Chlamydomonas reinhardtii: one gene and its partner. The protein of the gene in region 2 binds, or shares a complex with, the protein of the main gene of each other region. Links are inferred from orthologs where the notes say so. Each region holds a gene or a part of one and is shown on either strand. Other genes may lie near its edges.

Evidence for each region.
Region 1: CHLRE_06g278225v5 (region 2) and CHLRE_08g364450v5 share a complex: the UniProt entries of both Arabidopsis thaliana proteins name them as parts of the natA complex. The link is inferred for Chlamydomonas reinhardtii from reciprocal best matches to the Arabidopsis thaliana genes EMB2753 and AT5G13780.

What each region holds. Positions count from the first base shown.
Region 1 is NC_057011.1:1,440,805-1,445,149, forward strand, and holds the start of CHLRE_08g364450v5 (uncharacterized protein), read right to left. Parts: upstream 2,826-4,345; 5' UTR 2,631-2,825; coding exon 2,566-2,630; intron 2,430-2,565; coding exon 2,405-2,429; intron 1,803-2,404; coding exon 1,711-1,802; intron 1,374-1,710; coding exon 1,273-1,373; intron 1,086-1,272; coding exon 983-1,085; intron 725-982; coding exon 568-724; 3' UTR 1-567. Other genes in the region: CHLRE_08g364501v5 (uncharacterized protein), read left to right, coding at 2,972-3,073, 3,305-3,359, 3,649-3,701, 3,983-4,345. UniProt on the Arabidopsis thaliana protein: Catalytic subunit of the NatA N-alpha-acetyltransferase complex. Required for male gametocyte development, embryogenesis, suspensor development and the formation of the quiescent center (QC) in the root meristem.
Region 2 is NC_057009.1:4,133,597-4,136,988, reverse strand, and holds the end of CHLRE_06g278225v5 (uncharacterized protein), read right to left. Parts: coding exon 3,377-3,392; intron 3,080-3,376; coding exon 2,961-3,079; intron 2,759-2,960; coding exon 2,674-2,758; intron 2,343-2,673; coding exon 2,159-2,342; intron 1,893-2,158; coding exon 1,637-1,892; intron 1,434-1,636; coding exon 1,220-1,433; 3' UTR 579-1,219; downstream 1-578. UniProt on the Arabidopsis thaliana protein: Auxiliary subunit of the NatA N-alpha-acetyltransferase complex. Required for male gametocyte development, embryogenesis, suspensor development and the formation of the quiescent center (QC) in the root meristem.

The DNA of each region.
Region 1 (4,345 bases), on a different chromosome or scaffold from region 2:
TGCCTCTCTGCCAAGTGCCAACTGCCCAGCCTGCACGCCGCTCCAGCACACACTCACACTCACGCATGTCGTCTCTAAAGTCTAACCCACGCTTTCGCTCGCGTAATCCGTCACTCTGCCCCAACATCATTGTGCAGGCCTGACTGCAAATCTGCAATGCCGAGTCACGCTGCCACTGCCAGGCAGCGATGCCGTATCGTAGCGCCCGTCACCCGGCGCCGGCCCCCGGCAGGAGGTCATTTCCCCGAATTCCCCCCTCTCCATTCACTCCCACGATCCACTCCCACGATCCACTCCCCTATACACCGCACCCCCACGCCACACACTCCCGTGCACGCCCCCGTGCTTTGCCGCCCCACAGCCGCTCAGCTTCCGGTGCCGCCGCTCAGCCGCACCGCCGCTCAGCTGCTTGCGGCGGCCGCCGCGGCCCCGGGCCCCATTTCCCGCGCTGCTCAACCGCTCAACCGCCTCTCAGCCGCCTCTCAGCCGCCTCTCAGCCGCCTCTCAGCCGCCTCTCAGCCGCTTCTCAGCCGCCTTTCAGCCGCTTCTCAGCTGCCTCTCAGCTGCTCAGCTGCTGGCGGCTGTGGGCGCGGGCAGTCCGGTGGCCTGCGCCGTGAGCGCCGCGGCCTTCTTGGCCAGGGCGGGCGGCGCAGGGCCAAAGTACTTGCGCATCTCGTAGGCGTCCTCACCGTCGGCGTAGTACTTGCCCTCGATGTCGTAGATCCTGTTGAGTTTGCATTTGCGGGGCGGGGGTTTTGACTTGGACACGGAAGACGTCCTCCCCGTCGGCTTCGGGTTCCGGATCTCGGCTACTTGGGCTTGGACTGGAGGCCGCGACCCCCGATGCCGATCCTCGACATCGACCCGGACACCCCGCCTCTTCACCGCGACACACACACACACACACACACGCGCATACACACACACGCACACGCACTCAGCCAGCCCCACACACACCACGCCCGCCAGCCAGCCCACTCACTGGTAGCCCAGGGTCTGCGTGTACAGGTGCACGGCCACCTTGTTGGTGACGCGCACGTGCAGCGACACGTACTGCGCGCCGAACACCTCCTCCATGGCCTTGTCTGCAGGCAGAGGGGGGGCGGGAGAGACAGCGGCGGGTGAGGGAGCCACTACAGGGGATGTTGTGCCGACACCCTTCCCAGTCAAAGGAATAAACTCGCCCCCCCTCCGCCTCGGCCCCAGCCCCGCAGCCTCGCCCCTCGCTCGCCCCGCCAACACCTCCCCTCCCTCCCCACGGCTCGCACTCACGCGTGGAGCTCATGAGCTTTGTGGCCAGGCCAAGTTTGCGGTGCGTGCGCGCCACCGCCACCGAGGTGATGTGTCCGTGCTGCTCGCTGGCCTCCTCCTCCCTGGGGTGGAGGGCGGGGGGGCAGTCGGGTGGGGGTGGGGGGTTACATTCATGATTAGTTAAGGAAGTGGTGGGGGTGGGGTGGTGGCGGGGATGGGGTGGTGAGCTTGCTGCGTTTGGTGGGGTTGGTGGGGTTGGTGAGGCGTGTCGCGTAACGTAGCATTTCCAGTTCCCAGTTCCTGTAGCCCCCAGCACCCCTGTGCTGCCACTGCTCAGATCTTTGGCCAGCACGTATCTCCCCTCCCCCTTATGCTCGTATCCTCCGCCTGTCACTCAGATCTTTGGACAGCACGTATCTCCCCTTCCCCTTATGCTCGTATCCTCCTCCTGTCACTCACATCTTGGCCAGCACGTATCCCACAATCTTGCCGTCGTAGTCCTCCGCCACTTGCAGCAGCTGGGGCCAGGACAGGATGTGGTACAGGTAGTACTGCAGGCGAGTTGGAGGGGGAGTGGGGGAGGTGAGGCAGGCGGCGGAGGCGGCGGAAGTAGGCGTGGGGGGGAGGTGGAAGGGGAGGTGGAAGGGGAGGTGGAAGGGGAGGTGGAACGAGGGGTGAGGTGAGGTGTCGCAGGCAGCCGCATTCGGCATTCCCCTCCCCTCCCGCCTGCTCCTCTCTCCACCACTGGCCTTTGTAGCGCGCGTGGGGCTAGCGCGGCGTCATCAACTCTGAGGGCTGAGCTGCAGGCTGCATGCCCTGTTACGTGTTAACCCACTGGGGCTGAGGCCGACTGGCTAACGCACTGAGGGTGCAACCGCGCCCTGGGCTGATTGATACACAGCTGTCTGCCAGCCCCCCATGGAGGTCTCATCGAGAGGTCTCATCGTGAGGTCCCATGGATGTTTCATAGAGGGTTGTGCTGCCTCCTGCCTCGTGCGTAGGCGCACAGGAGTCTCGCTGCTGCGAGCACGCCCCACCAAGTCTCGGCGTTCTACACGTGTGGGCATAGGGTGCCGTCCCTTGCACAGCCCCCAACAGCGCTGTGCTTAATTACACCGGCCTCCCGCAGAAGAGCCTCCAAGGCAGCTCTTACCTTCAGCTGGTAGTTCTCAGGTAGACTGCGGGACACAGCAGGAGGCAATTGGGGCGTGGGGTTAAGAAGGGTGTCCAACATGGCATGGCCGTGTCAGCGGCTGCGCCTGCCACACGGCGGCCCAGCCGCGCTGGTCCCCGGATGAACCGACGCAGACTCACCACAGCAGGTTGCACCGCTGCATCTGCATTAGGTCGTCAATCGTTGCTGGGCGAATGCAGACCATTTTTCCTCGGGGCGATCGACAACCCGATCAGGACGCGTGAAAGGCCAGCAGCTTTGAGTTTTGTATTTGTACAATTAACGAGACGAAAACCTTGTATTGTGTGGGCACAGCACGAAAGCGCGGCGGCTTGAAGGGCGGGCAGGTTACTAGACTGGACGAAGTTTCAAATGTATACAGGGAAGTATGGTTTGTAGCGAAGGTGTCCCACGAGACTGAGGGATTCAACGCAATCGGAAGGTTTGATGCAGACGCCCTCCCCATGCTATTCTGCGTGCTATGCTGAGCTTTTTCTCATTGTAATACAGTTTGTCATCAAGACATATACATAAAGCAGCAAAGCCATGGAGGTAGACGAGGAGGCTGGAAACTACTCCATCTCCAACATCGACGCACTGGACGACCTATGTTTGCAGCACATAGCGTCATGCACGGAGTCTGTGCGAGTAGGTGCCTTTGCTCGCCGCGGGGGTGGGCGGGGTGTCGTTTCGGCGCTGGGGCGTACCGAAATCCAGCTTTGCTTTCTCCGCAGCCTGCATGCGGGTTTCGCGACAGAAACGCAAAGCTTTTCGCGATGCACACGGAAATAGCGAATCTGCGGGCCCCACTTGCCCAGGGTTCTTGGGGGCCTGCTGCTGACACGGGGGTATGTGGCCTCTCTCGCCGTGGCGTTGCAGGAGCTCTTAGGGCTGGCTGGCACCTGCAAGCGCCTGAAAGCAATTGTGGACTCAGGTGGGCTGGGTTGAGAACCTGTCACAGTGTCACCCGCGCCAGGAACCGCCGTTGCTGCGAATCGTGCTGTCACAGCCCTGCCCCTGCGCCTGCCCCCCCACCCCACCCCAAACCGAACCAAACCGATGAAAACCCATTCCTGGTTGCGTCTGCATGCCTGTGGCTTGCTTGACGTGGTGAATCTGTAATTGCCTGCCTGAGACCTGCTTGATACCTGCCTGATACCTGCCTGAAAGCATGCCTGAACGGCTGCCTGCTACTGCTACTTCTGCTGCTACTGCTGCTGCAGCCGACCCCGCCTGGCAGCGACGCATCTTGGCGGACTTCGGTCTGCCGGTGCAGGTGCGTGTGTGTGTGTGTGTGTGTGTTGTGTGTGTGTGTTGTGTGTGTGTGTGTGTGTGTGTGTGTACTGCTGTGTGTGTGTGTGTGTGTGTGTGTGTGTTGTGTGCGCGGCAGCAAGAGCCAGGTAGCAAAGACAGCCAGCTAAGACGCTCCATGCAGTACGACTTGCAAAGCCACGATGTTTGCCGTATCGCAAGGAGGGCAGTGTGGGACCTTCGGCGCGGGGACGGGCGGCAGTGATGACACACGCCGTGTCCTGCCGTACGCCACCTGCCGTACAGGGCGTGGGGCTCAAGCGGCAGTACGATGTGCTGCGACACGTGGCGTATGGCGGGTCTGACGCCCACGTGCGTCACGGCGGCGGCGGCGGCGGCTCCAGCGCCGCTTCCCGCTCCGGCTCCGAATGCACCAGCCCCACTGGGTTCCTATCAGCAGCAGCAGCAGCAGCAGCAGGGGCAGGGGCTGCTGGGTTTGGAGGCGCCGCCGCCGCCGGGCCTTCGGCGCACCCCGCGCACTCGGTGCACTCGCAGCAGCAGCGGCACCCGCACCCGCAGGCGGCGGCCGGAGGCGGCGGCGGCACCTGTGTGCGGCCCTTCCTGCCGTTTGAGGGCGTGTGCACGGACGGTAGCTGCGACGTACCCTGG
Region 2 (3,392 bases):
ATAGCAGTTTGCAGTCGGCAGCTTTGCCGGCGTAAGAGAGCGGTGAGGTTGAGGTTAGCAGCGATGGGTGTGTGCGCGCGACGGGCGTGTGGGCGCCATGACTAGGTGGTGCCGTTGGCGTGCGATTGCTTGCACACAAGTGGGCAAGTCAATGAGTCATTCCCGTCTTACTCTGTACCTGGCAGGGAGCAGTGTGCGCGCCGGCAACGTACCGTAAGTGTCAATCTTAGTGTAAGGTGAATGCTGTTTTGGAGTTCTGAGATGCCGGGGTTGTCCCCCCCCTCCCTTCTCCTTGAACGGCTCTCCCCCCCCCCCCCATGGCTTGATCCGTCTCTGTCAATTTCGGAGGATAGCGAGGTGCCAGGCATAGTGCCAATCACCACGCATCGCTGTCAGGGCTGGATTACCGGTACGCGTGGTGGGCTGCAGCGTACAAGTGCCGGGCTATGTCCGGCGTCCGAGCCACCAGTATTAGATTGGCATCGTGACGTGGCCTTGCCTTTTCCCCTGCAATCTGCCGACGTTCGCTTCGTTTCACCGCAGTCCGGTGACTGCTGCAAGGCTGCAACTATGCATGTTAGAGCGCGTTCTTACACGCAAGGGCGGGTGCCGCTTGTGGCACTTCGCGTTCCTGCCCAAGTCGATGGACCGCGGCGCTGCCCGGATGGGTAATGCCTGCCCGCTCCGGTTGCGTCCGTGTCCCTGATATGCCAGAGATGAATGCGCACCAGTGCATTTTGAGGGCCGCACGCTTCAAAGCCACCGCCAGCGCTTCGCAAAGCCACACAGGGCTGGCTGCGCGGTCCGACATCGGCACCGTGACAGTCTTTGTTGCAGCCGCAGCCGCCGCACATGCCGAGCTAACTGTTTCGTCCGTAAGCACACTGCACAGATGCGCCTATCTGGTCGCAAAGCCTAGCTGGTCGCAGAATTGCTGTAAATCAACCCCGTCCACTCCCCATTCGCAGAGGTCAACCCTCCGCAGGTGTCAACCGCAAGCCAAGTCCGCCCCGCTGCCGTCCCGCTCAGCACCCCGCCCACCCTGCGTCCAATCACCCACACGCCCACACACTATTCTCATGTGCTCTCTAACACACCCGAGTCCCGCAGCCCGACCGTGCTACAACCCGCACTCCTGCTGCTGCTACAGCCGCCTGCTCCTGCTCCTACAGCCAGCCATACCCGCTGCTGCTCATGTTGCAGCTCCCGGTCCGGCTGCTCAGAATGATAGCTTGCCGAACGCCTCCCGCATGTTCTCAAAGTCATAGCTGGGGTCCAGCGCCATTTGTTTTGACCCGCCGAAGTAGCGCGAGTGCGGGTACGCCGCAGCGCAGCCCGCCCGCCATTTGTCCGCCGCCTCGGCCACGCCCCACTCGTCCCGCAGCAGGCGGTGCACCTCTACGCACTGCGCGTGCAGCGGCCGGGAGGCCGGCCTGCGCAAAGGGGAAGCGAGCACGGAGCAGAAGCGATGGTGCGAAGGGAAAAACGGACATGGCCAACACAGCACGGGAAGAAGTAAAAAGCGAGCAGCGGGAACAAGGGGCTGTAGCCAGCGTGCGCCAACCAACGCAACGAGGCTACGCAGGGGCCAATACGCACGCGAGAGGTGCAGGCCTCGCAGCACACGCAAACGCACCCGTACTCCGCCGCGCCCGCCGCCACGTGCGCCGCCGCCGCCGTCCGCGCCGCCGCCGACGGCGCGCTGCCCCCCGTCTCCGCCAGCGCCACCATGGCGCGCGCCGCCGCAAGCCGGTGGTCCAGGCTCTTGGTGCCGTGCGCCGCCCGCCAGCGCCCCGCAAACGCCGCCGGTGTGACGCCCGCGCCCAGGAGTTCAGCCAGGCCCGCGCCCACCACGGCCTTGACCACCTCGTTCTCCGGCGGCGAGGCCGCGACTGTGTGGGCGGGATCGGACGTGCGTGAGTTGAAGTGCTTGACGAACATGCAACACGTATGCGTGCATCAGGGACTTGACACGTTGCGGGACACAAACACGGAGCGATGGCGAGCAACCAGCCGCACCAGGTAGGTCCCACATCCACCCGTCCCACATCGGCTGCAAGCAATCACCCGCCATCCCTGGCGCCTGTCCCACCACGACCAGCACAAGCACGCAAACAACGCCCGCGCCTGCCATACTGCCAGCCTCGGCATCACTCACATGCCTGCGCCAGCCGCACCAGCAGCGCGTGCACCTCCGGGTGGTCGGCGCCGCCCGCCGCCTTGGCCTCCGCCGTGGCCGCCGCGTTGCGCAGCGCCGCCAGCGCCACCACCTGCCGCCCCCGCCGCAGCGCCACCTCCGCCGCCAACACGTGGCTGGACAGCCGGCTGCCCGCGTGCTTGACCTGAGCAGGAGCAGGAGCAGCCGGCCGCGAGGGCAGCAGGAAAAACGAGAGGGCAGGAAAAAGTGAGCAGCCTGCATGCTTCCTCCGTGCGGGCGCTGCCGGTAGCGTTTTCTACCAGGCAGGAAGGGCTGGGGTTGTAGATACCAGCCCGAAATGAACCGAACCCAATGCAAAAGGGCGAGGAGGAGAGTGTGGCCTATGCTTTGACAACGCAGCGGCGCTCGACAGCAGTCCCCATCCCCGAAATGCACCGCTTTCCCAGCTTCCCAGCAACCCAGGGGGCTTCACCAGCCTGCCTCCGCCGCGCCATCCCTCGCCTGCGCTGGCTCACCAGCATCTCCACCAGCTTGGCCGCCTCCGCCAGCGGGTCCGCCACCGCCGCCAGCTTGGCGCCCTCCGGGTCGGGGTCGGGCTCCCTGGCGGCCGCATGAGAAGGGTCTAGTAAGTGACCGCTTTCATGTGCGTGCGTGAGCGTGTGACAAGACAGGCGAAGCAAAGGCGTGTTCACGGGCCTAGCACCAGCAGTCGCGCAGTACTCCTGATCTGCGTGCCCGAGAGCGTGCCGGCCCAGCCGCAGCCCCAGCCTACTAGGCAGCCCGCACGGCCCTGAGTCCGCACCTCTTGCTGGCTGCCGCCGGCTTCTTGCCGCCCTTCTGCGCCGCCGCCTTCTCGCGCTCCTTCTTTTCCCGCTCCTCGCGCTCCTTGTCCTCCGCCGCCTTGCGGGCCTTCTCCTTCTCCTGTGCAGCGGCGCGAGCGCGGGGCGGCGGGATGGGCCGGGTCAGGCACGGCACGGCAGGAGGCAAGCAGGCGACTGGCGGCTGCGCAGGAACGCGTCGCCGAAGCGGCTGGGGCCAACCTTAACCCAACCCACGCCTTCGGGTACGATCCTCCTTATCCCGAGCCCCACATCCCGTCCTCCCTCCCTTTCCCCCCTCCTCCCTCCCTCCCTCCCTCCTCCCTCCTCGCTCTTTTGCATTGGGTTCGGTTTACTTTGGGCTGGTAACCTCCCCCCAAACCACCTTTGCAACCCCCACCTCCTTCTTCTTGGCC